Linked DNA regions of Elephas maximus indicus. The protein of the gene in region 1 interacts with the protein of each later gene in a pairwise test. Links are inferred from orthologs where the notes say so. Each region holds a gene or a part of one and is shown on either strand. Other genes may lie near its edges.

Region 1 (7,301 bases):
CATAAGACTTGCCATGTGGAAAATGGATCTCTGGAACGCAGTGCAGGCTGTATTTGGAGGTGAGTAAGTTTACACCATCCCAAAGGGGCCCTGCTGACATATGAATTCGAATTGAACAGCAATTAGTCATATTTTCTTAAGCAGTGTAAACTATCATCCAGAAAAAGGGTCATCTCTTTTATTAAAGATTGCAGGAAATATGTGATTCCACATCACTGAAAAATGGTAACATCTTGATGAATTTTCCATGTTATTCTTTCAGTTGTTACAGTATTGCACTCCTGTTACTAGGTCTTCTGATAATAGGCAAGTCTGTAGGAGCTGTAAAAGGAAAAGGGTGATTGTAGGGGAAGTGGGGTGGGGTATTGTGTGCAGGTGTGTGTGTGTATGAGATGAGGGAAAATGAACTTTTAACAAGAAGTACAGGCTACAGGGGAAAAAAATGGTGATTCTATGGTAGTTTCCAGTCACTCCTCTACAGAGAGGTTCCAAACAAAGAAAGCTGTTCAACAAGTCTGGAGATTTAAAGAAAACAGTCCGCTAGCATTTAGCCTTTAAAAAAAAATGTATATATATATATATATATATATATATACACACACACACATATATATACATACACAGAAACATATACACACACATATATATTCACAGACACACACAAAACTGTATTCGAAAAGTATGCAGTTGTCTCCAATTGCTAGTCTTTCAAAATGACAAAAACTTGCCGCGGTAAAATTCCTTCAAGCAAAGGATTTTAGGAAAAGTTATGGAAAAGTTATCGGCGTTAAGTGACATCGTGTATTTGCGCCCCCCCCCCCCCAGCAGGAGAGCACAGCTAGCTGCAGCTCTCTGGGGGAAGCTTTCAGAAACGCTCTCTAACCCCAGGGAAGGATGCCACACAGAAATCGCCCGACCCGAGCAGCCTGAGGCTCGGGTGGCCAGCGTCACCCACCCGGTTTACTACGGATTCGGGCACCATTCACCCCTGAAGGGCCTTTCCGAGAGGCGGACCCCCTTAGCCGCGCCCGACCTACCAAGTGCCAAACCTTCCCTAGCCCTGTATTTGCTAGGGTGGTAGGGGCGGGCGTGCGGACCCGCTCCCGGCCCCTCCTGACCCGGTCCCGAGCCTCGCAGGGCTCCCATTTGGGCTGCTTAGTGGCGCCTGCACGCCCCGTAGCGGCAGCAGAGCGCGGACCCCGGGATTGTGGGGTCAGGCCCCGGGCTAGGGCGCCTCGTCCGGACTTGGCTGCGTCCGGCCGGGCGCCGGCTCCGGGCCGCGGGCGCGGACCCAGGACGCCGAGGGGCTGGGAACCCGAAAGCCCGCGCTGCAGGAAGAGAGGCAGTGGGCTCGGAGGTCGCAGCGGAGGAGGAGCATTGGCGGTGGGCTGGTTAGGGCACAGCCCGCGGGCAGCTGCGGAAATTCCGCCCCTGGCCAGGATCCCTCGGCCCCGAAGCCAAACCTCTCCGCTTGCTTTAAGTGTCCTTCAGAGCCTGGCCGGGCCTCGAGGTCACCTGGGCGCGGGATCCGGGCCCCGGGGCCCAGCTTTATCGCCTCCTCCCCGGCCCGGAGGCCTTGAGCTGGGTCCGCTTCCCCTCCCCCGGCGCTGTCTCCGCGGTGCGGCCGTTGCTGGAACGGTCGCAGATTCTGGCCCGGTGTCTCCCACCTGGACATTTGCCTAGCGACGGCCGCCTCAGCCCTCTGCACAGCGTACAAGAAACTTTCCTCTCTCTCCCTTTACGCTCTCCTCCCTCTCCCCTCTCCTCTCTCTCTTTTTCTTCTCTTAATCCCGGGGTTTTATGGGCTGAGCATTAAGAAAATTCGCCTGCAATTTGGGATTAGATAAATACTCTTATGGGGGGGGGGGGAATTCCATGCTACTTGATACCTCCCGACTTTCCTGAGACGGGTGGCAGCATCTGGAGCCGAAAGCGTCGGACTCCCGCTCGGCGGGCCCTGGGGACCGCGCGACACATTCCAGCGCGCACCGCCTCCCCATTTTGCCGGGCTGGTCCTGGACCAAGGCTCCGGCTGCCGGCGAAACAGGGCCCGGAGGAGCAGGAGACGGAGAGATTGCGGCACTGGGGCAAGGGCACGCACTCCGGCGCAGGCAGGCCAACCCGGGCACACAGCGCGCAGGCCCGGGTGGCTGCTCCGGGCTACGGATGCGGACGCCGCCGGCGCGCGCTCCTGGACGCTTGCACACTTCCCCCACCTCCAAACTAGTGAGCTCCAGCCAGCGCCTTGCCCCGGAACTGGGGGCGGGGGTGTCTTTCGTTTCTTTCTTTAACTCTCAGCACCATCTCCCGGGCTCCGATACCGGGGCTGCTGACTGCAGGCCGCACGGGCTGCCCCTGGCGGGGGCCTGCGCAAGCCTGAGTGTGTCCGCTCCGGGGGCCAACGATGCGCTCAGCGCAGTTTCTTTTCCCCTTAAAGCTTCCCCCCGCCCCCCGCATCATGTTTTTCCTTTCCCCTCGTTCTTTTATTCTGCTTTCCCTCTCTCTCGCTTTCTCTCCCTTTTGTGAATGGGCAGCGGTGTCTTTGTTCTGGAGAGAAGCGCCCGTGTCGCTGACTTTTGTGAACCAGAGAAGGATCTTGTAAAACCTCCTTTTCTCCTTCGTACTCCCCCACTCCCGCCCCTCCTTCCCTGCCCCTTTGATTAGATGTTCCTTCATCGTCAAAAAAAAAAAATGTAATTTCGTTGGTCTGGCGGCCACTTTCTTTGAACATTAGCTCGCTTTCAGCTCCAACTTCAATTAGAAGGAGTTGATTTTGAGAGATCAACAAAAGAACCGACCAAAGCCTTATTAAGGTCCTAAGAAGATCTCCCGGGTTCTTTGAGAAGCAGTTAAGGAAACAGTGTGCCCTCCATCATATTCTGTTACCGTATTTTATTCGGACTCCAAAGGAAAGTGTCGCTTGGGGGGAGGGGGAAGCACTTTGATGAGCTGCAGCCGCGGCCTCTTTTCACTCAGTGGGCTGCCCTTCCTCCTCCTCCTCGCCCAGCCCCCGGGCTGATGACGGTGCCGGACTCGGCGCCCCGGCCGTGTCGGCGCTCCCGAGCCATGCGCCTATCGGCTCCGTGACTCGCCCTCACACTTAACTGCTGCTCAAACTTTTCCCTCCGCCTGCTGGGGTGGGGGGATTAGAAAGAAGGGATGGGAATTCCTCGAAAGGAAATAAAGTCGTGCCTAGTATTCAGAAGGTGGTGCCATTGAAAACAACTGGCTTGTTCAAGGCTGGGGGCGAAAACGCTTTTTCTGCTTTGAAAAATCCACCAAGGTGGATGGGTAGGAGTTTGTTCGACTGGGAAATAGGCTTCGCCAGTAGGAACAACCCGGGAAAATCGCTTCAAGGAGGCTACTTCCGGGGCAGGTGGAAAAGAAGTTGAGGACAAGGGCCTGTGGCCACGTTTTGACCAGACTGTCCCTGGTAGCTGAAAATGGGAAAGAAGAGCAAGACAGAGTGGGAAAGAGAAAGTTTCCTATCAAAATCTTTCGATTCAGAAGAAGCGTGTGTGTGTGAGGGGGAAGGGACGCTGGGCTGGAACGTTTCAGAAGAAGCGTTTAGAATCTAAAAACACCCTTCGGGGAACAGGGCACGCCGAGAAGCAGGTAGGTTGCGGTGTCTCCCTTGCGGGTGCCATTTCCCAGCGCAGAAGTCTTGAGGCGCCGAGAAGGCATCTGCGCGCTGGGAGCTGCTCCCGCGCTCTGCAAAGTTGCCGGAGCCGGCACGAGCCGCCCGCGGCGTCCGCAAGCAGGTGACGGCGCTGGGAAGGAGACGCTGGGGCCCGCGCAGCCGCCAGAGGGGCCTGGGGCCCACGCTCCTCGAGTCCGCGGCCCCTGAGTCCTCGCGCCCATACCCGGGCCGCCGAGCCGGGTGAGCGCGCGGGAGAGCGAAGAAACCGGTTCTCCAGCACCTCGCCGCCACTCCCTCGGCCGCGCCGCGAAGGCGGGAGAGGGGGGAGAGGGGCGGGGGCCCCGGGCCAGGCCTCGGGACCCGCGCCCCTCTGCGGCCGGGGCTCCGGCGTTGCGCTCTCCTCGTTCGCCTGGCTTTGCGCGGCGTTTGGCAGTCGAGCCCCGGACTTAGCGCGCCACCGGGGCGGGGCGGGGCGGGGCGGGGCGGGCGGGCGGGTGGGGACAGCGGGGTGCAGGGGGCGGGGGAGGGCGGGGGCGCGCGGAGGTAACCCTCGGCTCGAGCTGCCATTGCCCGGCTCCCTGTCACTCAGCCCGCGCGGGGCCCCCGATTGGCGGCCTAGCCCCGTTACGCACTCGCCTCGCGTTCACATACTCGGGGAGGGCAGTAGAAAGGTGATCAATCTTCATCTGGCTACATTTCCAATCACCTAAACAACCGAGAAAGACAAGCCACTGCGACAAGGTAAATCGCTTGATTTATTTAGTTTACAAAGTGTCTGTTCAAGAATTCCCCAGCCCCTACCGCCTCCCTCCTGTACCAGGAGTGCAGCAACAACCGCGAGCCTCCTCCCAACTCTGTCCCTCGCACCCCCTCACCTCCTCCCTGCGGCCCTACAGCTCGATCCCCGGCGAGGCAGTGTCCCAGGAGCGTGTAGGGTTTTGCCAACAAAGTGTCTGTACAATAAAATGAAACTTGGAGGGACACACATAAAGCCACTGGGAGGGAAGAAAGAGATGGGAAGAGGGAAACTGGAGAAAGAAAGAAATCGGGGGTCCCAGACCAGCCTCGTCCAGTCCGGCGGGTAATTCCTGCGCCCCTCTGTTTTGCAGGTTGGCTGCCCGGAGGGTCTCGTTGAGGGCGCGAGGTAGATGGTGAGCGGCCGCGACAACTGAGGGCAGGTAAGGAGAAAGCCCAGGGGCCTCCCGGGACGCGGGGAGCGCGTCGGTTGCTCTTGCTTCCACCTCTTCAACTGGGTTCCGGCTTCCACAGGTCCTGGGCTGGGGGGCGGGGCTGGGGGGAATCGGCCTGGCGCCCCTCTTGGTGCGTGGAGGACCCCAGAGCGCGACTACAGTCCGGCGCTCCCGCCCGCCCAGTCTCCCCCGCCTCCTCCGAAGTGAGCGAGCTGAAGTGCTAAGTTTGGAGAAAGTCTTTGAATACACTGCAGCAGCCTAACAGAGCCGCGGTGGCTGGAGTCCCGTTCTCCCTGGGCCCAAGAACCCAGGCTGTTTCTCCTCCTCTCCTTCCCTGTAAACCCAGGCCGCAAGTCCCGGAGGACCGGGGCAAGGGCTTCTTTAGCTCTAACTTCTGTCCCTGAACTTCCTAGCCCAGCTTCCAAGGCCCGCTTTAGAGAGTTCCTGCGAAGCGGGATGAAGCGACAGGGCCCCTGGGCTCCAGCCCCACTCCTAGCGCCCCTTCCTGACCCCTGACACTAGAGCCTCGGGTTTGGGAAGCTGCGGAAACGAGGCTTCAACCTTCCAGTTAGGGGCTCGCGGGTTATGCCTCTGAGGCCTAGTTTTTTAGTTTCGGTCAGGTCCCGGGGCCGCGGGGTCCAGGGAGCAGGATAGGCAGGGGAGCTCAGGGGATCGGCTACATCCAGGCCTCCCAAATCCCCGAGGTCTTTTGGAGCGCCGAGCCGGTCACGCTTCAGCCTCATCCCGGGCCCCGTTGTCAGCAACAGGACCCAGCAGAAAGAAGGCCCGGCCCGCACCTCGGAAGAAGGGCCCGAGGCTCCGGCAGAGGCACCCGCCACCTCAGGCCGCGTCTTGCAACCACCACCTCTACGGTGGCCCCTTTTGCGTCTTTTGGTTGTGTCTGGGAGATCTGGGCCAGTAACTGCGCTTGAGGTGTGGTGGGATTCTGGGTGAGAGATCTTTCAGGGACTAGGCACAAAGGTCATCTGGAGGGGTGGCTGCGGACGGTGGGGCCGGGCCCCAGCTGCGGAAACCTTTAAAGAAACGAAGCCTCCCAAGTGGGCTCCGCGTCCAGAAGAGGCCAGGGGCGCCGGCCCTCCGCAGTGCTTCACCTCGGCCCTCGGGAGTGTCTACCTTTTCTTCCCGCTTTCAAGACATTAGAAACAAAACAGAATAACCCTTCATGTTCTGGGCAGCCTGCGGCCAGGGGCTGAATGAACGTTTGGTTGTTCAGCATGAGGCCGGCTCCCGCCGGACTCAAAATTTTGCTCAGGCTTAGGACCCTGCTTCCCCCTTGTTGAGGGCTTAGACCTCCCCAGCCCGGCCAGGCTTTTAACCTCTCCTCACTCCCAGCTCCGCCCTACGAGTGTCTTTCGCCTATTCTAAGCCCCAAGAGAGGCATGGAGACTCAGGAAAGTTCATTTTTCAAAAAAAGCTGTGGTCTCTGGATTTAGGCCTTATGGAGCTGAGTTGACCGCGGCGCTGTGCAGTCCCGGAGCCTGTGCACCCTCCCCATCCCGAGGTTTCTGACCTCGGACAGTACCTGGGAGCCAGGGTGGCTTGGATTGACGGTTACCATGTGTGTCATGTCTCCTAGGCCGGGCCCCCAGACGCAACAGAGCTCAAAGGATTGCGCGGTGGGAAGCCCGCACCGCGCCAGGCCCCCGGCCCCCTGGATCCGTCGGGGCGCCTCCACCCGGCTGTTAGCATGATGTCTTACCTCAAACAACCCCCATATGGCATGAACGGGCTGGGCCTAGCCGGGCCGGCCATGGACCTGCTGCACCCCTCCGTGGGCTATCCGGGTGAGCACCGGCCCTCCCAGCCCCTCCGCCCTTGCAAACGTTAGGGATCCTCAGTCTCTCGGGTCTGAGGCAGCCTGTTGCCGAGTAGGCCCAGGTAACCGATTGCCTAGTCTGCTTTCAATGCAAAGCTGGCTGCAGGCGCAGACAACAGAGTCAGGGGTGGGTGAGATGGACCAGGGCAGTGAAAAGGTGCAGCAATCGCCCTTCCAGCCCAACCGTGGGGGCAACCTGTCTACTGTTGTGCTCCCATCGCCCACACAGTGCATTTACCCACGGATTCGTTTCCCACGGGTGGCTATTACTTTTGTGGATCTAATCACTTTTTTCCCCCAGCAACGAATGAGAAATCTGAAGTCCCAGTGAGCTCTAACGGAAAGAGCTTGGCCCTAAGGCCTAACTTCCCTTATGTGAACATGCAGGCTGAGTTGAGGAAGGGTGGCCCTCCCCTGGACCTGTGGCTTGTACCAACTCTTCCACTGCTGAAGCTGACGGCTTGAGCCGAACCCTGGGTTTCTTTTCCAGTTTCCACTACTGCACCCCCATTTATTCTCTGAGTGTTTTCAGATCGTGTTTCTATACACCCTTCTCCCACCCCCAGCCAGCGTGTGTGTCGAGTGGAGGGGATGTGGAGGAAGGGAGATTACCTGACTTCTCTCCCTTTTTTAA
Region 2 (7,034 bases), on another chromosome or scaffold:
TGCCGTAAAGTGATTCTGACTCATGGTGGCCCCATGTATGCAGAGTAAAACTGTTCCATAGGGTTTTCAAGGCTGTGACCTTTTAGAAGCAGATTGCCAGGCCTGTCCTCAGAGGCACCTCTGGGTGGGTTCAAACTGCCAACCTTTGGACTAGTCATCAAGTACATAACCATTTGTGCCACCCAGGGACTCCTAAGGTGTTGTATAAGCTACATATTCTTTGATGAGGCTGACAGTGGGCCAAGTACTTCGCACATGTTAACTCAATCTTCTCTGAAATTCTCACTCCCATTTGATAGGCAAGCAGACACAGAGAGGTCAAGCAACTCGCCCTAGGTCACACAGCAAGGCTATGCCTGGCTAGATTCAAGCCTAGGTTGTGTGGTCCAGGCCAGGCCTTGAATGCTGTATAAAGTACAGTGGTGGCTGATGCTGGTCTTATTAACAGTAGCAGTGTTACATTAAGTGTAAGGAATGATAATGATGTTACCCTAACTAACTGTAGGCCACGGCTCACCAAGCCCTCCCACCTTCCCAGGGGCTCCCAAGCTGGTAACGACAGGGCACACACGGCTGAACTGGAGGGTCACCCCATCCCAACCTCCTCTACCAGGAACACTCAGTTGGGGGTCTCCAGGGATCCCAGGGGACCAGTCACAAGGGCATCAGTCCCTCAGCCCTGCCCAGGGGGGTCAGGGAGGGCTCCCTGGTGGAGGGGGCATTGGAGTGGGGCCTTGAAGGTTGAAGGAGGGTATTCTAGGTATCAGGAACAGCGTGTACACAGGCACAGAAAGGCACCCAGCAGGAGCTATTCTCTAATGTGAGGCTGGCGTGATGTGTGCAGGAAGAAGGGGCCTGGTTCCTGGAAGGGGGGTTTCAGGATGATGACTGGTGGGTTTCAGGGAGCAGGAGTGTGAAACCAGAGCTGCCCTTCTCTGGGCCTCCCTTGTCTAATGTGCACACTGGGGCATCCTCAGGGCCTCCGCCTTTGCTGTTTCCTCTGCCTGGAATGCCCTTCCCTGCATCTCCCCATGGCCCAGCCACAGATGGGGCCACGTGTGTCAAAGCCCCAGCCCTGTGCTGGGCCTGTGGCAAGGGCCTGGCTTCCATATGCCCTTGTCCCAGATACACGAGCTACACACCAGCCCTGCCCCGAGCTGTGGTTTTCCCGAGAATTCCAGCACCAGCCGGGAGCGGCCCTCAGGTGAGCCAGATGCCAAGGAAAACAGGAGGTGAGCTCATGGCCCGGCCACAGGCAGCAGGCAGGGCAGGCACTGTCGGGGCACGGGCTTTGCAGGAAGTGCCCGGGCCAGGGCTGGCTACAGCCACCTGGCCTCTCCTGAAGGCTTGTCCCTGCTCACTCATCGTCTGTGGCTCCCCATTGCCCTCAGAAGATACCTGAGCCCCATACCACTGGCACTGCCCTTCCATAATCCATTTCCTGATTATCCTTGAACCTCAAGCTCTCACCACCCCAACATCCCTTTTTTTCTTTTTTTTAATTCTAGTAAATACATGTAACAAAATTTTGGCCATTTTAACCATTTTTATATACCTTTTTTGTTGTTGTTGCTAGTTGCCACTGAGTCAATTCTGACTCATGATGACTTCATGTGCGCCGAGTAGAACTGCTCCATAGAACTTTCAAGGCTGTGACCTCTCAGAACTAGATCGCCAGGCCTGTCTTCCTAGGCTCTTTCACCATTTTTAAATGTATAATTTGGTGACATTAATTACATTCACCACTATCCATTTTCAAATGGTGGTGCGGTGGTTAAAGCGCTTGGTTGCTAACCAGAAAGGTTGGCAGTTTGAATCCATCAGCCACAGGCTGCACCTGTAAAGATTTATAGCCTTGGAAACCATAGGGGCAGTTTTACTCTGTCCTATAGGGTCGCTACGAGTCGAAATCGACTCGATGACAGTGGGTTTGGTTTGCGTGAAATAGAAACTTAAGTAATAACCTTCCATTTTCCCTTCCCCTAGCCCCTGGTAATCACTAATAAACTTTGCCTATGCACTGGCCTATTCTAGATATATTACATAAGCGGGATCATACAATATCTGTCCTTTTGTGTTTGTGTCTTACTTTCCTGAGTATAACATTTTTGAGATTCATCGCTATTATAGAATGTATCAGGACTTCATTTATCTTTACGGCTGAGTGACATTCCACGAATGGACCACATTGTGCTTCTCGATTCATGTGTTGACGGATACTTGGGTTGTGTCCACCTTTTGGCTATTGTGAATAGCACTGCAATGAGCTGCTGACATATTTCGGCTCATTCCTACCTCAGGGCTTTTGCTTCTGCTGTTCCCCTCGACCTGGAACATCTTTCCGCCATCTCTCTGCTCAGTATGTCCTTCTCATCTTCCAGGTCTCAGTGTTAGTGTCCCCTCCTTCTCTGGGAAGCCTACCCTCACTGCTCCCCACCTCCAGTCTGGGTCAAGCACCTCCTCAGAGCTCCCACAGCTGACTGTGCATCCTCCATCAAAGCTCTGATATCTCTGTGTTGTCGCTGTCTGATTACGTAGCTGCCTCATCATCAGACTGGGCGTCTCATCAGGGAAGGGCAGCGGGTCTGGCTTGTTCATGTTGTGTCCCCAGTGCCCATCATGAGATGGAGTTAAATGCTCTGGTGAAGGGGGTCAAGATTTATAACTATATTACACTAATTGTAATGGTGGGTCATTACACATAGTATGTGCTCAAGACACACCTGTAAAAAACAATGAATGCGCCCAAAATGTCCCCACCTCCAAGCCTTTACCCAAGAGCTTCCCTCTGCCCTTTTCCCTCTACTGACCTGAGTCTTCCCTTTCATGTTTCCACTGTCACTGCCTCCAGGAAGCCCTCAGGGACTTCTCTGCAACCTCTGAAGAATAGATCTGGCTATGACTCTAGCTTTACCCTTGTCCTGCAAAGTGGTCATAAGTCAGGTTCTTCCTCTCACTGGGCCTCAGTTTCCCTGTCTATAGAACAGAAGCAGTGAGTGCTGGAGGGCTGGGTCAGTGAGGGTTAACCGACTCATGGAAGGAATCCCAGGTGTTTTGTAGGAGCTCCAAAGCGCTGCTGGTCTGGAAGGGACTATTTTCCTGATTAACAGCAATTTTTATTTGTACTACAGGCTGTTCCCACAGCAGCTGGAGCTCAGCTCCGAAGGTATGGTGCAGCCTCAACAAACATGAGCCCTGGGCCCCCTCTTGGAGCTCCTCCACTGGAGCCCTTAATTCCATCCCCTCTGGAGGGGGGCTCACCCCCAGCGGGGCACTAACATCCCATTGCACAGATCAGGAAACTGAGGCACAGATAAGGGTGGGCTTCGGGTGCATGGGCCACCAGACTCCTCTCTCCATCCCATCTGGAGAACTTCAAGGAGGGAAAAGTGTAGCAGAGTGGGCAGGGGTCTCAGCTGCCATCGCCAAGGGAACCAGGACCTGTAGAGGAACACTGAGAGTCCCTGTTCTCACACCTCTGCCCTCATCATTTCCCTCTAATCATTAACATCATTACCAACAATATTTACTGCCCCATTGCACATGGTGGGAAACTGAGGCACTGAGCCAAGTCATTGGCCCACTTGCCTGGTTTAGAAGCAAGTCAGGAGGGTGCAGAGGGTGGGTCTGCCTGATCCTATAAAGTCTGACCCCAAAGCCTGTATCCAGTCACTGTGACTCTGTTTCCCCAGGTGTGAGCTGTGGGAGCCACCATGGGGACAGCCTGGCTTCCAGCTGTGCCCCAGGCTTGGCACACAGCAAACGCTCAATAAATGAGCGGGAGGACTGGAGGGGTGGTCCCGCCTGACTTCCCCATTCACCGCCCCCCCTCACAGGCCCCCTGAGTCAGTTTCCCGGTTCAGCCCTGAGCCTGGTTCGCCGCCTGGCAGGCGGGCTGGACGTTGAACGCAGAGGCCAGCGGCACCCCGCCCGTCTGTTTACCTTGGGCTGGGCTGGGCCGCCGGTGGGCCGTCCCCGGGCGCCGCTGGATAAATAAGCCCTGCGGCCTCGTGGGTGGCAGAGCTGCGCCACCGACCCAGAGCTCCGCTATGGCCCATGCCACCGCCTGCGTTTTCTTGCTCGCCCTGGGCACCCTCGTCGCGTCAGGCCAGGGCCAGGTCCAGCTGGGTAAGCCGCGCTCGCCCCGAGGGGACGGGGGGCAGGCCTGCGGGAGACCGAAGGGCGGATTTCCTGGGGGCTTGCGGGCTGTTCGCTGGGGCGCTCAAGGGCAGAGAAAGCAGGTGTCGGGGGGCGGGAGCCCTGAGTTCTGTGGCGAACCAGAGGAGCAGAGTGAGAATCACAGGTCCCCGGGGCGGTGGTGAAGGCGGCGGGAGTCTCCGCACCCCGACGCCCCACCAGCGCCCCCTGACGTCGCAGACGCAGACCTGGCCCCGCAGATGCTACGGGAGCTCCAGGAGACCAACGCGGCTCTGCAGGACGTGCGGGAACTGCTGCGGCAGCAGGTGCGGGTGGGGGTCGGGGCCCGGGTCGCAGCCAGGGTTGGGGGGGAAGGGAGAGGAGTCTAGGGGAGGGAGGTGTGTAAACGGGGTGAGGCAAGGGGGTTAGAGAAAGGGGGTGAGGGGACCAGGGGAAGCGGAGGGAGTCCCGGGAAGTGAGAGAACATGGTGGGGGGGGGGGGAGAAGCAAGGCGGTCTGTGGAAAGGAGGTCCAAGGGGAGGAACTGGGGGAGCCCGGAAGGGGCCCCGAGGGATGGGAAGGAGCCCCCGCTGATAGCCCCCGTCCCCGCAGGTCAAGGAGATCACGTTCCTGAAAAACACGGTGATGGAGTGTGACGCGTGCGGTGAGCGCCGCGGGGCGGGCAGGAGAGAGAAGGGGGGAGAGAGACAGAAAAGGAGACAGAGCGAAAGACCGAGGGACTGACAAGGAGGGAAAGACAGAGACGGGGAGAGACAGACTGTGGGAGACACAGAGACCGCGCAGAGATGCAGGGAAGTGGAGAGACACACCGTGGGGAGAGGCAAAGTAGGGGAAAAGGAGCGGCGCGGGAATGTGGTGAGGGGGGCTAGGAGACACCCAGAAGGCCAAGAGTGGAGCCGGGGTCTCCCCTGCCGCTGGGGTGGGGTCCTGGCTACCCACCCCCTACTCTGGTGGTCCTGCCCGCCCCGCCCCCGGGGAGAGGTCCTGATCACCCACCCCGTCCCTGGGGTGTGGTCTTGTCAACTTGCCCCGCCCCCGGGGTGGGATCCTGATTCCACCCCACTCCCCCTCCCCCTTCCCAGGGTGGGGGTCCTCATCGCCATGCCCCGCCCCTTGCCCATCCTGCCCCTCCCGGAGTAGTCCTGACTCACTGCCCACTCCCGGGGTGTGGTCCTGACCGTCCGGTCCTGCCCCCCTCCCACCCTACGCAGGGATGCAGTCGGCGCACACTCCCGGCCTAAGCATGCGGCCCCTGCCCCAATGTGCACCTGGCTTCTGCTTCCCGGGCGTGGTCTGCACGGAGACGTCGAGCGGCGCGCGATGTGGCCCCTGCCCTGAGGGCTTCACCGGCAACGGCTCGCACTGCGCAGACGTCAACGAGGTGCGCCCGTCCCCGACACCCCCCCTCGCCCGGACGCCCCCTCCACCGCTGGCGGCCCCCACTTCCACGACCCCCTCCACTGCCGAGGATCCCCGCTCTGACGACCCCCCTACCGCTGGGGCGGAACCCCAACGAACCCCTTCACCTCCTGGGGGTGTCCCCCTCGACGACGACACCCCTGCCGCTGGGGTGATTCCGCCTAGACAACCCCCTTCACCTCTTGAGGGTGCGGGCCCTGACGACGCCCCCCCTACCGCCGGGGTGATTCCGCCCCCACGATCTCCCTCACTGCCCAGGGGCTCACGCCCCGACAACCCTCCCACCTCCGGCGGTTTTCGGTCCCGACCAACCCCCAACCAACGGATTCGGCGTCTCCAACGACCACTCCCTCCCGCCGCTGGGGACGCCCGCCACCGAAGTCCCTTCCCCCGCCCATGAGCACCCTGCCCACCAGGTCTGGGAGCAGCCCCCCTCCAGGAGTGCCCTCCCCAACTAAGCAAAGGCAGGTCTGATCCCTGGGAAAACTGCCTCCGCCACCCCCGCCTCCATGGCGCCCCTGCCCATCCCATGGACCCCTGCAAGTCCAGACTGAAGACCTTTGAGATGTCTGAGTTCACGCCTGGGAAGTTCCGAGGCGCCGCGCTCTGACCCCCTGCAACCCCTCCGTCCGCAGTGTAACGCCCACCCCTGTTTCCCCCGCGTCCGCTGCATCAACACCAGCCCCGGCTTCCGCTGTGAGGCCTGCCCGCCCGGGTACAGCGGCGCCGCACACGAGGGCGTGGGGCTGGCCTTCGCGAAAGCCAACAAGCAGGTGAGGGGCGCGGGGGCGCCAGTCCCAACTTATGCAGGAGGAAGGGGGCCCTTTTCGTTCAGTAAACAAGTCCATCAGCCCCAGTACCTCTTCCCAGCCCCAAAGCTACAGGGAGGAGGAGGAGACTAAGGTCTGGGGGGCGGAGAGGAATTAGGAGGAGCGGAGTGGTGGGAGGGTGGGGTGTCTGAGTGGGCGGTGACCTCTGCGTCTCCCCTCCCAGGTGTGCACGGACATTAACGAGTGTGAGACTGGACAGCATAACTGCGTCCCCAACTCTGTGTGCGTCAACACGCGAGTGAGTCCGGTGTGGCTGGGGAACGGGGATAGGGACGGGGTGGGAGAGCCTGTGGCCCGCGCTGACCGCTTGCGGCCTCGCGCAGGGCTCCTTCCAGTGCGGGCCGTGCCAGCCCGGCTTCGTGGGTGACCAGGAGTCCGGCTGTCAGCGGCGTCCGCAGCGCTTCTGCCCGGACGGCACGCCCAGTCCATGCCACGAGAAGGCCGACTGCGTCCTGGAGCGCGACGGCTCTCGGTCGTGCGTAGTGAGTGCGGACGGGGGGGCGGGGCGGCAGGGGTGTGGGCGGGGCGGGGGCCAGGGGCGGCCCGGAGCTGGGGGGCGGCCTAAGCGGGCGTGGGAGGGCGTGTCGAAGGGGGCGGGGGCAGCCCTGAGGGGACGCGCACCCGTTC
Region 3 (6,836 bases), on another chromosome or scaffold:
CCATTCCTCTTAAGCTCCATGCCTCATCACCTATGCCCACCTTCCATTTTTCCAGAAAAGCCTATGTGCTTCAGTTAATGGACTTCCAGTCTGAAAGCCATTATCTCTACAGTTGTGGATTGACAGGTAGATGCTTTCTTACTCTTTAGCCTATGAGTCAGCCAGAATTTTATCAATTTAGCTTTAGATCTTTTTTTATTAGATTGTTATCATGAGGCCAAATGGCTAAGAATATTTATTTATCCCTTTCTTCAAAGCCCCTAGTCGTAGTGGTAGGAAATATCAAGGAAGACTATTATTTCATTATTATGATGATAATGCAAAAGTATAAGAAGTCCACAGGAGTAATAATGGACTTAGACCTTCAACATTATGAGTTCAAGCAAATTAATATCCAGCAAGAATATTCTTAAACCTAATGAGATACCTATTTGAGAAGGAAAAGCTAGGTGACTTAGAACTAAGCAGGACCTGCAAATTAACTCTGTTAATTCCCTTACCTGGGGACTGAACACCAAACAGTAGTTGAGGAACCAGAACAAAAATGGTTGAAATTGGCACAACGACACTTTGTTGTTCTGTAAACTGGGTGGTTTTCTTAATCTTTCCGACTACAGTTTCAGGGGAAGGATGAGTGCCCAGGGTTCTGGGACCATGTGTCATTGCTATGGAGATTTATCTTATTTAAGAAATTATATCACCCAGTCTTTTTGTAATGATAAACACTTGTTTCCTCATTTCCGAAAACTGGGAATTAACTGCTTTTTCATAGCTGCCTTATATATACTTTTCAAGATGACAAAAAGAGTGAATAAATCTACTCTTCCTTGAGTGTGCTAATTATTATTTTTTCTTTAGTTCATGCTAACGGAAAAAATAACTCAATAACAGTAACTTAACTGGAGAAGGTTGAACTTCTCAATCATTGGAATTAATGACTACAAATCACTTTTTCATTAGGTATTAGTGCCATAATGGGCATCTACTACTATTCCTATAGAAGACTTTAGAAACAAATACAAATTACTTCAAGTGTTTCCCAGTTTTCAAAATTACTTGATACACCTAAGTATCTAACCAAAAACCCATTGCCATTGAGGCAATTCCGACCCATATCGACCCTGTATTACTTCAAGTGTTTCCCAGTTTTCAAAATTACTTGATACACCTAAGTATCTAACCAAAAACCCATTGCTATCGAGGCAATTCCGACCCATATCGACCCTGTAGGACGGAGTAGAACTGCACCATAGAGTCTGCAATGAGCGCCTGGTGGACTCAAACTGCCAACCTTTTGGTTAGCAGCTGCACGATTTAATCACTACGCCACCAGGGTTTCCACCTAAGTATCTAGCAGCTATGAATCCAGGAGAAAATTATTTTCAATTCCAAGAGTAAAAATGATTTATCTTAAATTAAATGATTTTCAGAGCGGCGTATCACGCCGAAAACCAGTGCGTATAACACCGGAAATGGAGATGTCATCGACTCAGAAACGCTTATTCTAGATGGAAACCGAACTATACGCTTTTTCTTTATTATTTGTAATCTAAAAAAAATTTTTTTAATTGCTATTCCAGGATGGAAAGAATCTTAATGTAAAAAAAAAAAAAAAAAAAAAAACTATGGGAAGCTTGCAAAGTTCTCTAGACAAACCTTCCAGCGACGCTTTTACAGAAGGAAGCATTTAGCGAAGGGTCAGGGAGGTTAGGGAAACTATGCCTGGAGCCAGAGTCCGTCTTCCCGGAGCGACTAGACAAAACCAGGTGAGCCGGTGTCCCGGGCTCCGGATGGCGGCGAAGGGCGGGTCCCCGAGCTGCGGGCATCTTTCTGGCCAGGCGACCCCTGCCCCATCTCCGGGAGCCCAGGGACTCCCAAGGCGGGAGCGGGCTACCCGGGCGCGCTGCCTGTCACCTCCCGCTCGCTGGGAGCATCTCCCGATCCGTGGCTTGCGTGGCCAGCTCGTTCCCTCCGCCATCCTCAAGTCCTCCGACATTTTTCAGGGAGATCGGGAGGTAGAGAGAAGAGGAGCAATATCTGCACCCCGCCTCTGCCGCAGCCCAGGAAAAGGCAAAGGAGGAGAAGGCTGGCGAGGAGGCAGCTATTAAACCGATTCCATCAATAAGAAGAAGAATCCCCATCACCCACAGTGAGGGTGCTTCCGATACACCCACCCCGGCAGCGGTTCGAGGGCTGGTGGGCGTTCCTCCTCCTCCTCGCCCCCTCGCTGGCTGTGCAATCGACCCCATGAACCCACACCAGAACTCCCTTTCCTGTGACTACGAGGAGGGGAAGGAACAAAAGAGACCCCGAGCCTCGATACACACACACACACACACACTTGATCGCTGCTAAAGGTACTCATTTTTGCAAACCCTTCCCCGGCTTACACCTTCCTCACCTGAATAGTGCATTTTCCCAAAGGCAAAGAAAGGTAAGGGAGAGAAGGTATTACCCGAAGGAGATGGGTCGCTAAAAACCTGAATTCCACAGTCGGCTTCCGAACCAAACGATCACAAACGCCCCCTCCCCCGCAGGACCCGGCGCCCCCAGGCCCGCCCCCGCCCAGCGCTCCCCGCCTTGGCCCCGGGCGCCGCTCTTCGCGGGCGCCGGGGACCCCCCAGGGCGCCCTCCCTCCGCCGCCGGACATCGGTCACCCCCGGCCGCAGCTGCAGGGCGGCGAGCGGAGCGGCTGGGCAGCCCCGCGGCTCCAACTTCCCCGAGCAGCTCCCCGCGGGGACTCCGGCCCGCAGGCGCCCCGCGGGCAGGGCAGCGCTCTCCGCCCCCTCTGTCCTCTGTCCTCCATCCTCCTCCCCGCGGGCACACACGCACCCCTCAGCCTAAGCAGACATTTTGCTGTCACACAGTTAGCACGGCTCAGCCTGCACGGCCACCTCTTACCCAGTGCCTGGAGGGTGGGCAGCGCACCGAGCGGTCCGGGGGCGCGGGCGGGCGGCTCGGTCCTCTAGCGGCGCTGGTGCGCTGCCATCCGCCCAACTTCAGCACCCAGCCGGCGACGAGAGGCAGCCAGGCGAGGATGGAGGCGGGGGCGGGGAGAGGAGGAGGGTGGGCGGGCGGGAGGGAGCGGGCGCCGCTCGGCAGCGCGCATGCGTCCCGCCGCGGGCGCAGCCTCCCGCCCGGCGCCGCTGGAGGGGCCGCTGCCGCCCCGGCGCTGCCTGAGTCACGGCCCCGCCCTCCCGCCCGCGGCCCGGCCCCGCGCCCGCATGGCCGCGCCCACTGTGCGGAGGGCTCGGCGGGGCTCCGGGCAGGGCGCGCGGTCTGCGGGGCGCGGGGGCACCGGGACCTGGTGCGGGGGCTCCTGCACCTTCGCGTTCACCCGCAGCCCACGTTCTTTTATGCTGGGCTGTAGGAGAACGCTGAAAAGGAGCGAACCGGGCGCAGCACCGGGCTCCGCGTGGAAGCTTTCCCCGTGTGGAGTTCTAGAACGTGCAAAGTGAAGCAAGTTTTGCTTTATCGAGGGTCCTTTACTTTATTGGCTTCGTCATCCAGAAATAGGACCCTTGTCCCCAAGAATTATTTCAGAGCGCTCGGGTGACTCTGGTCTGGGGCATATTTGCTGGCTCAGGCGTCTGCACCACGGCAGCGAGAGATTTGAGTGGGCGAAACCGTGGGTAAATGATTAACAGAAGTGCGGATACTTGGGGCCTTGGGCATCCTTTGGGAACAGCTTGGTAGCTATCAGATCTGATAATTGTTCTAGTCACAAGCGGGGCCCAGCATGGTAGCAAAGGAGCGTTCAGACACTTTAATGCATCATGAGCGCTAGATTAGATGATTAGATTGAAGTGTTCGGAAGGAAGAATTAGGAAACGGGTGTCTTTCTCATCCGATATGATCTCTGTGGGAAGAGGAGTGAGTTCCTGGCAGGAATGATTAGGCTTTTTTCTCATCCCTTTTTAAAGCAGATTACTTGTAAGTATACATGATTTCCGTTGCTTGCATGCTCATATAGTCAGACATTTTTATCATTATGTCAGGCTCCTTTGCTAACCAACCTTCCCTCTCTCACCTTCTACTTGACTCATTTCTTCTCTAGCAACATCCTTGACTTTTGAATACTAGTGCTTTTTACAGTATATTCCCCTGACTGGTGCTGGTCTGCAAATGTTCACCGTTGTTATTGTGAGGCGCCATCAACATCAAGTCAGTTCTGACTCATAGCAACCCTATCAACAAAAGAAGGAAACACTGCCCGGACCTGCTCCATCCTCACAAGAGGTTGCCATGTTGAGCCCATCGTTGCAGCTACTGTGTCAATCCATCTCATCGAGGGTCTTCCTCTTTTTTGCTGACCATCTACTTTACCAAGCATGATGTCTTTCTCCAGGGACTGATCTCTCCTAATAACATGTCCAGAGTACCTGAGACAAGGTCTGGCCATCCTCACTTCTAAGGAGCATTCTGGCTGTAGTTCTTTGAAGACAGATTTGTTCATTCTTCTGGCAGTCCATGATATATTCAATATTCTTCGCCAGCACCATAATTCAAGAATATCCATTCTTTTTTAGTCTTCCTTACCCGTGTCCGGCTTTCAAATACATATGAGAAAATTGAAAATACCATGGCTTGGGACAGGTGCACTTTAGTCATTGACGTGATATCTTTGCTTTTTAACACATTAAAGAGATCTTTTGCAGCAGATATTCCTAATGCAACACGTCATTTGATTTTTTGGCTGCTGCTTCCATGGTCATTGATTGTGAATCCAAGTAAAATGAAATCCTTGAAAATTTCAATCATCTCTCTGTTTATAGTGATGTTGTTTACTGGTACAGTTGTAAGGATTTTTGTTTTCATTACACTGAGTTGTAATCCATACTGAAGGCCGTAATCTTTGATCTTCATCAGTGTTTCAAATCCTCTTCGCTTTCAGCAAGCAAGGTTGCATCATCTGCATATCACAGGTTGTTAACGAGTCTTCCTTCAATCTTGATGCCCCGTTCTTCTTCATATAGTCCACTTTCTCTGATTATTTGCTCAGCATATAGATTGAATAAGTATGGTGAAAGGATACAAACCTGACGTACACCTTTATTGATTTTAAACCACACGGTATCGCCTTGTTCTATTCCAACAAGTGGCTCTTGGTCTATGCATGTTATCCATATTTGTTATGATGCCTTTTGCATAGTCAATAAAACACAGGTAAACATCTTTCTGGTTTTCTCTGCTTTCAGCCAAGATCCATCTGACATCAGCAACAATATCCCTTGTTCCACATCCCCTTCTGAATCCGGCTTGAATTTCTGGCAGTTCCTGTCAATGTACTGCTGAAACCGTTTTTGAATTATCTTCAGCAAAATTTTCATTACATGTGATAGTAATTATATTATTCTGTCATTTCCACATTCTGTTGGATCACCTTTCTTTGGAATAGGCATGAATATGGATTTCTTCCAGTAGGTTGGCCAGGTAGCTGTCTTCCAAATTTCTTGGCATAGGGGAACAAGAACCTCCAGCACCGTGTCTCTTTATTGAAACATCTCAAGTAGTATTCTGTCAGTTCCTGGAGTCTTGCTTTTTGCCAGTGTCTTCAGTGCAGCTTGGACTTCTTCCTGCAATACTATCGGTTCTTGATCATATGCTACCTCCTGAAATGGTTGAATGTCAACCAATTCTTTTTGGTACAGTGACTCTCTGTATTCTTCCATCTTCTTTTGATGCTTTCTGCTTCATTTAATATTTTCCCCATTGAATCCTTCAAAATTGCAACTCAAGGCTTGAATAGTTTTTTTTTTATTATTAATGTTGTATTTTAGATGAAGGTTTACAGAACTAGCTTCTCATTAAACAATTAGTACACATAGTGTTTTGTGACATTCGTTACCAGCCCCACAACATTCTTTCTCGACCTGTGTTCCCTGTTACCAGATTTTCTGTCCCCTCCTGCCTTCTAATCCTTGCCCCTGGGCTGGTTTGCCCCTTTAGTCTCGTTTTGTTTTCTGGGCCTGTCTAATCTTTGACTGAAGGGTGAATCTGAGGAGTGACTTCATCACTAGCTAAAAGGTTGTCCGGGGACCATACTCTCAGGGTTTCTCCAGTCTCTGTCAGGCCAGTAAGTCTGGTTGTTTTTTTGTGAGTTAGAATATTGTTCTACATTTTTCTGCAGCTCTCTCTGGGACCCTATATTGTGATTCCTGTCAGAGCAGTCAGTGGTGGTAGCTGGGCACTATCTAGTGCTGAACTCACTCTGCTGGAGGCTGTGGTAGTTGTGATCCTTTAGTCTTTTGGACTAATCTTTCCCATGTGTCTTTCATTTTATTCATTCTCCATTGTTTTCAACAGGATGAGACCAGTGGAGTATTTTAGATGGCCGCCTACAAGCTTTTAAGACCCCAGATGCTATGTGCCTATGGAGGTTCCATGACTTTGCCTTGTAAAAGTTGTGCTGGCTTCCCCAGTATTGTGTAAAAAAAAAAAAAAAGTACTGCCTTAAAAAAAAAAAGGCAAAAAAAAAAAAAAAACCATTGCCGTTGAGTTGATTCCAACCCATAGAGACTCTATAGGACAGAGTAGAATTGCCCCATACGGTTTCCAAGGGGCACCTGGTGGATTGGAACTGCCAACTTTTGATTAGCAGCCATAGCTCTTAACCACTACACCACCAGTGTTTCCATGTGTACTGCCTTACTCTTCACCAAAGTAACCACTAATCTATTGTCTAGTGGTTTTCCGTCCCCACCGCTCTTCTCCCTCATAACCATTAAAGATTGTTTCTTTTTGTGTGTAAACTTTTCATGAGTTTTTATAGTAGTGGTCTCATACAATATTTGTCCTTTTGTAATTGAAGTATTTCAGTCAGGATAATGCCCTCC
Region 4 (7,058 bases), on another chromosome or scaffold:
GTTATAAAGTTCCATCACCACCTTCTATCAGTCTGTCATACTATGGTGGCTTTCGTGTTGCTGTGATGCTGGAAGCTATGCAGCCGGTATTTCAAATACCAGCAGGATCACCCACGGTGCACAGGTTTCAGCAGGGCTTCCAGACGAAGGCAAACTAGGAGGAAAGCCCTGGCAATCTACTTCTGAAAACTCGCCAAGGAAAACTCTATGGATCAAAACAGAATACTGTTCAACATAAAACTAGAAGATAAGCCCCCTAGGTTGCAAACCAACCATGGACTTAAGCATGCCAGTGATCACGAGGAGCGTTTTGTTCTATGGTACGTGGGGTTGCCATGAGTCAAAGCTGCCCCCAAGGCAAATAGCAGTAACAACAACATCAAGTTCTAAGGCTGAAATCAGTGGCTTGAGCAATTTCAGAAGCTAGAACTAGAGATGTTGATTTGTTTAAAACTGTATTCTTCTATTGTTATTGTTGCTAGTTGCCTTCAAGTCAATTCTGACTCATAGTGCCTCCATGTTTAGGGCATAAATCAGAAGTTTAGATCAGTGGCCAAGTGCAACCTTGATAATACCTGACTTTAACTCACCCAACACACATACTAGCAAAGAATCCTGTCTACATCGGCCCCATAGACACATTCTACCCAAGACAGGAGATGGCAAAATTGACATGCATTTTCTACACTGATCTGGTTTAAAAAAAAATTTAAAAAAGAAGAAGATTATAGTCATAAAATAAAACAAAAGCAAATACAAATAAATGAGGAATTAGAGAAAATAAAATGAAGCCAAAGATGAAATCCCAAATGTAGGGTACACAGTCTTCAATGGCAAGAAGTAGGAAGGCACGTTACTTGGTGAGTCCCAATGACTCGGAGGTATTGGTGCAGCACAGGTTTCCATGGTTTCAGTAAATTTCAACATTAGGCAAATAAGAACATCTGTTCATGCATCAGGACGGCCTCTCTAGAACCTTCCACAACACACCTGAAAATGAGCTTCATTGTGAAGTTTTATCTAGTATTCCATCATGATTCTCCAATACCTCACAACGTTAATCCAAGTTATGTATTTCGGAACGCAATAAGGGAATCAATTTGGGGACACATTATCATGGTTGCACTAAACACCTCATATTGTATTCTTCTTTTGGATTATAACTCGCCAAGTGAACTTTACTACCTACCCATTGCTGTCCAGTCAATTCGAACTCATAGTGACCCTACAGAACAGAGTAGAACTGCCCCATAAGGTTTCCAAGGAGCAGCTGGTGGATTCCAGCTGCCACCTTTTGTTTAGCAGCCGAGCTCTTACCCACTACACCACCAGAACTACAAGTAACCTTTAGAGCACAAAAAATAGCTCTCCGCCCTTCACTATCTGAAAAAATAATAATTGAACTAATTAAAATAAAGACTAAGAAGTAAATGAGAAAGAATCCAACAGATTCTTGTTTTAACTCTGTGCATAAGTTACAGGCTGAATGTTTTCCCAGCCAGCAAGCCGGAGGGTGCGCAGGAAGGAGAGGGGAGCTAGTTTACATGGTATTTCTTCAAGTTCATGCAAGACAAACATGAATTACAGATTCTTCTCCACTGGCTTAATAAAAATATAAGGTGCTCTAAGGTCCCTGCGTGACCTAATGCACTCAACTACTAAACAGGATTGGCAGTTTTAATCCACTCAGAGGTATCCTGGAAGAAAGGCCTATCTGCTTCCGTAAAGATTACACCCTCAAAAACCTTAGGCAGCAGTTCTACTCTTTAACACATGGGGTCGCCATGAGTCAGAGTGACTAAAAACAGTTTTTTTTGTTTTTTGTTTTAAAGGGGCTCTTTAACTAGCCTTAAGTTCCTAACTTAAATTCCATTTTATGCTTTGATTTCTGACCACGTGTCTTCGCAAAGTTCCTGCAGCTCTGGGAGAAAGGCATAGATACAACTGTATCATAGAAACGGCCACCGTGCAGGAGTCTGAAGGGTCGAAGAAAACGCATTTCCTTCACCTGCTCTGCCCTAACCTTGTTAGCTAGACGCCAGCAGCACAGTCCCACCAGCTTTGCACAACCTGGCTGTGGCCCCAGCACCTTACCCTTAGTAAAAGCAAGGGTCCTTCCTAAGTACCTCACCTCGCGTTCAAAACGCAATCGCTCTGCGATCCGAAGAGATGGTGAGGAAAGCTACCTTCTGTGGCTTTTAAATTATAAACACCTTTTTCTTTTTTTCCATTTTGAATCAGCCGGCCTGACGCACATTTTGGAAAGCAACCCCCTTCTGCTCGCGTCGAGTGCAGTGCTTCGTGGAGAAAGCAGGCGCAGCCCTGCGCCCCCCCGGGCGCCCCCTGGTGGTCTGTCGGGCCGTAACGCAGCTGCGCCTCAGTTCACCCGGAGGCTCAGTGGACTCCCGCATTCAGCGGGTAGCGGGGGCGAGGGAGGCCCCTCCGCCGCGCGGTGGAAGCCCGGGGGACGCCGCGGTGGAAGCGGACGTAGCCTCGTCCACCTTTCTCCACTCATAAGGTTGGGAACGTGGGCCAGCGTCCGGAAATAACGCATGCTACTTCCCCTGCCACTTCTAGTTCCAAACCTGGGGCGGCGGGGGAGAGTCCTGGAGAAACAAGGCGAAAGCGGGGCTAGAGCGCAGCGAGACAGGGAACGTGCGAGGGCATCCCAGACCCAGAGCTCTGGAGAAGCCAGCGAGTGCCAGGTAGCTGCGTACGGATGTGGGCCGGAGCTGGACTGGGGGAATCCAGCGCCACATTTTTCTAGCTTCAAGAACTCCCACCCCGCATGGGGACAAATTCGCAGGTGCTGTTAGGAATGTTGACCCCTACAAGCAGGTACTTTCCTGTAAAGGAAAATATTTCTGTAAGACATTAGGTAGAATAAAGTATCATTGGTGTTTTAATTTTCTACTTGTGCTTCCACGTGAAGCACGTTTCTAAGTAAATAAACAGCAGAGACGAACATATGCATGCATCTTACATTTTTGTATTTCTATTTATTCTTAAGTGGGAAAACACAATTCACCTTCAAGACGGACAATAGGATCTTCTTGAAAAGTGTGCTAGGTAACAAGGAGACACAGAAATGAAGGATGCCTTCTGATTGAGTGAAGAAGGAAACCTGAAGTGCAAGTGGCACCCTCCCCATTTCAGAAGCCCACGATGTTGCTCTGAGTATTACTGAATTAACTACTTCCAGAAGGCTTAAATTTTAGAATTTCCTTGCACCCAACAAATCATTAAAAATGCTCTTCAATCATTAAGAACGCCTCCATCTATAGCTAACCCTCCTAAAACCAAAACCGATTAAACCTATTAAACAGAAAAACTACCAATCTAAACAATCAAAAGCAAACCCCGGCAAGAGAGTAAGGGACTTGAAGCCCGAATCTGCATTCCGTTCCTCCCGTACTCGGCTCCGAGGTGGGGGAGGCGGTTTGTGCTGGTGCCTGGTGTATAATCGGGTTAATCCGGGAGACAAAGAATAAACCAATAGCCCTCCCACCTCACTTCCCGCTCCCTTCCTTTCCCCCTCTCCTCCCCCTGCTCCCCCTCCCCGCAGGAGGGGGGACAGAAAAGGGGAGAGATGGACTTGAAGTCGGTTCCGGATAAAGTCTTAAAACCTGCATGCAACTTGTTTTTAATGCGAACATTGCAGAGCTGGGATGAGTTGTAAATGTTCACTCCCCTTTCCTAGTGGCGGGGAGAAAGTTCCATAAGTCAGACCGAGCTTATGGCTCGTCTTCATGGCCTCTGGGAAAACCTTAAGGTCAGTGTTTCCTTGAAACTAGATAAACTGACCCCGCCGTGCCCAGCCCAGCCCCGCGAGCGCCCCGCGTGACGGCGCCCCGGCTGCAAGACCGGCCAGAGGACGCGCGGGGCGGCGCGGTTGCCCTTTTGAATGCCTCCTGCGGCTCGGAGCGCTGGCGGGCGCTGGAGTGTGAGTGAATGTAGCCCCGCGGAGCCAATGAGCTGGGACCGGATGCGATATATCCTCTGGGACAACAACTGCTCTGTTCCGCCTCGGATCCACATGACGCCATTTACTGCTGCCGCGGCGGCCGCAGAGCTCCCTGCCTCCTCCGGAAAGGCGAGGGCGCAGGCCAACGGCGAGCCCCCCCCGGCCGGGCCACAGGCCCACCTCCTCCTCCTTTTCCTCCTCCTCCTCCGCACCCACCGCCCTAGGCTCGGCCTCGCCGCCGCGCCTCCGCAACGCCCAGTCTGCACCGCCGAGAGCTGCGCGCCGCAGCGCGAGCGGAGGACAGGGGCCGGCGGAGCGCGCAGCGCCCAGGCCCCCGCGCCCGTCCGGCCCGACTCGCGCCCCCGCGCCGCCACCGCTCCGACACAGCTGAGACCGCACGACTTGGCGATCTGGCTTTAGGTTCTCTGTAAGGCCGTTTTCTTGTCTCATTCGCTCGTTTGCCAGGGAAAGAGACTCGCCGTTGGCGCTTCGGCCTCCTGTTCATTGAGAAAAAGAGGAAATACTCCGCGTGCGCTTGTAGAAGGGGGGTCGACTCTATCCCCGAACACCGGAGTGTTCATCGGATAGCGACTTGGCACCCGGTTTTCTTTACGTTTCATCCGCCGATTGCTCGGAAGTTGGACTGAAACAGAGTTTGGAAAGAAGGGGAAAAAGTTTGCGTCGAGGCTGGATTTATTTGCACATCGCAGTTAGAAGAGAATCCAAGGGAGAGGAGTTGGTGCAAAGCCGCGATCACGGTGAGGCGCGTTTGGCTCTTCCCCTCCTGGCTCCGTGGCCGGCGTGTCGCGGGCAACATGGAGTAGGTGCAGCTGGACTGCGAGTGGGGTTCATTTCACCTCGGATCTCCCTTTCTGTAACCCCGCAGGTTCCCCACGGGGATCAGGGGTAGCTGCCTCGTCCCGGACTCGGTCTTGGCCCGCCTCAGCGGGGACTGCCGTGCACACCCCGCGCAGTATCCCCGCGTCCTCCCTAGCCCGGCGACCCCGCGCACCCGCGCTCGGGAGGGTGGGGGGTGGGTTGGGACGACGATCAGGTTCTCAGGAATCAACTCCTGGCCCTGCGAGGGCAGCGAATTGGACTCTGAGAGCCGGGAGAGGGAAAGCATTTTGTGTTTTCCAGGTCGTCTTTGCAGGCGCGGGGATTTGTAACCTGTTTCTCTCCTGGGCAGGCAAGTCCTAGGCGACGCTGTCCCTAGGCAGGGCTCCGACGGGCCGAGGGTGCGCGGGTGGAGAGAGGCCCCCGCCTCTGCCTGGTGTGGACGGGGGCGAGCCCTGTGCTGGTGGGAGCGTCTCCCTGCCCGGCGCCGTGTCTCTGCGGTTTGGAAGTGGCGCTTTCTCTTTTTTCCGTTCTCCGTGGTCGGCCTGGGTCATGGTTTTATTTTTGGAAGCTTGGGCTGACCCAGCACAGGAAGAAAGTCATCAAGTGGTAGCGATCATTTTCCATTATCTGAAAATGGGTGGCAAAAGAGGCTATTTTTTTCATTTCCTCTGATGGGCTGATTTTTTTTGTTGCTGTTGCTATTTTTAAATTTCGGTATCTTGTGTGTTTTTACAGAGCGGTTTCTCTGTGGGTTTGCCCCACCCTAGTACCGAAGTCCTTTCCTCCTAATCCATAGTCTGATCACACACTGTTATTAATGGGGGTTTCAAAGCACTTTGGGCTGGGGGGACTGGGAACGCACTAAGTGGCGGGGGTGGGGCGGGGAAGACTGGGAAGAAGGAGACCAAGAATCGACAGAAATCACTTTAAAAAAGACTACTTAACTTTCTTTTAACATGCTGCTCTCAACTTGCAGTCACATCTGCGCTGAATGTTTGCAGCTCAGGCATCTAAGTCCTGCCTGCGCGGCGAGTGCAGTGGCGCCTTGGAAAGCGCCCTAAACTCTTAAAACAATTTCTATCTTTAAGAAATGTGTGTGTGTGTTTAGTTTCTCTACACCGAAAGTAGATAATAGTGTGCAGATTGCATACAGTGTCCACTTAGGTCAGTGCAGCGTGGAGTCGCGCGAGGTTAAGTATGGGCGTCAGGGCTGTGTACCTTAGGCAGGGCTTTCTTCCTCGCCGCGTCGGTGCTGGAAACTTAGGTCCCGCGCTCAAGGGCCTTTTCAAAAACGCCCTACGGTGGGGTGTGTGACCCCAGCCTAGGAGTGGAGTGGCTCCCTCTTGGGGCTGGAAGGCGGCTCTCAGTTGGGGTAATGGGAGCGGCGGCGGGGGAAGCGTGCTCCTGCGTTTCGTGACACGTCCCTTTTGGAGGCGCCCGTGCCTCCCCCCACCCCCCCACCCCGCGCGCCTTTCTGTCGGCCTGGGGATCGTGCACGGTGGGAAGGGGTGGGGCTGGCCCCTGGGCAGCGTCAGTCCGCTCGGAGAAAACTCTCTCGAGGTTCCGGCTGAGTCCCACCTGCTGGGGACGGCGTCGGGGCGCAGATAGAACCGATAAATGGAATGAAAGCAGAGAGCAACGTTGTCTTGTCTTTCTGCTGGAGGTAAGGAGGAGATCTGGCTTCCAGCTCTGTCTTGTTCCCGAATTGCTAGGCGTGTGTCACCTGCCCTGTTCGCTGTGGTTCTGTTTTCTGAAAAGGAGAGGTTGGATAAGGTTCCTTTTTTTTTTTTTTTTTTAATGAAATCATGGAAAGGGGGATAATAGTTTGGAAACTTACAGAAGGATTACAGTTTAAAGGGATTACTTGTCAAAATGCTAAATTCAAGATGTGACACTTGAATTTTTAAAGCTTTTTTTTTTTCCTCTTCCAGTTGATTTATGTTCTCAACTGTAAGTTTTTTGGAAAACAAGCAAATCGGTTAAGATTTTGACATAATTCTTATATGCAGCAGGATGCAGTAACCGTTGGCCTGCAGAATCTAAGGTATTTTTCCTAGGCTATCAGGTTATGAGATCCTTGATTCTCAAGTTGTTGGAAGGTTGAGAATAAGTTCCTGTCTGGTTGCTTGTTGTGTAAGTTTGATTTAATGTGTTCCTTGCACCTAATGGTATTTGAATTGATTTGTTTTTAATCCCATATCTTTGTGCTGTTATATAGTCATACACAATGGCATGCTTGTAAAATTTATAACTA

The links.
Region 2: the proteins of OTX1 (region 1) and COMP interact in binary tests that used the Homo sapiens proteins (3 or more experiments, as listed by UniProt). The two-hybrid records come from large-scale screens. The link is inferred for Elephas maximus indicus from reciprocal best matches to the Homo sapiens genes OTX1 and COMP.
Region 3: the proteins of OTX1 (region 1) and RGS17 interact in binary tests that used the Homo sapiens proteins (3 or more experiments, as listed by UniProt). The two-hybrid records come from large-scale screens. The link is inferred for Elephas maximus indicus from reciprocal best matches to the Homo sapiens genes OTX1 and RGS17.
Region 4: the proteins of OTX1 (region 1) and SPRY2 interact in binary tests that used the Homo sapiens proteins (3 or more experiments, as listed by UniProt). The two-hybrid records come from large-scale screens. The link is inferred for Elephas maximus indicus from reciprocal best matches to the Homo sapiens genes OTX1 and SPRY2.

Annotation. Positions count from the first base shown.
Region 1 is NC_064835.1:73,744,882-73,752,182, reverse strand, and holds the start of OTX1 (homeobox protein OTX1), read left to right. Parts: upstream 1-4,296; 5' UTR 4,297-4,381; intron 4,382-4,749; 5' UTR 4,750-4,818; intron 4,819-6,389; exon of another isoform or gene 6,390-6,427; 5' UTR 6,428-6,538; coding exon 6,539-6,635; intron 6,636-7,301. UniProt on the Homo sapiens protein: Probably plays a role in the development of the brain and the sense organs. Can bind to the BCD target sequence (BTS): 5'-TCTAATCCC-3'.
Region 2 is NC_064821.1:38,665,963-38,672,996, reverse strand, and holds the start of COMP (cartilage oligomeric matrix protein), read left to right. Parts: upstream 1-4,034; 5' UTR 4,035-4,049; coding exon 4,050-4,128; intron 4,129-4,377; coding exon 4,378-4,463; intron 4,464-4,749; coding exon 4,750-4,801; intron 4,802-5,369; coding exon 5,370-5,539; intron 5,540-6,212; coding exon 6,213-6,350; intron 6,351-6,570; coding exon 6,571-6,645; intron 6,646-6,730; coding exon 6,731-6,889; intron 6,890-7,034. UniProt on the Homo sapiens protein: Plays a role in the structural integrity of cartilage via its interaction with other extracellular matrix proteins such as the collagens and fibronectin.
Region 3 is NC_064819.1:224,721,731-224,728,566, forward strand, and holds the start of RGS17 (regulator of G-protein signaling 17), read right to left. Parts: upstream 3,019-6,836; 5' UTR 2,902-3,018; intron 1-2,901. UniProt on the Homo sapiens protein: Regulates G protein-coupled receptor signaling cascades, including signaling via muscarinic acetylcholine receptor CHRM2 and dopamine receptor DRD2.
Region 4 is NC_064832.1:73,732,624-73,739,681, reverse strand, and holds the start of SPRY2 (protein sprouty homolog 2), read left to right. Parts: upstream 1-4,054; 5' UTR 4,055-4,722; intron 4,723-7,058.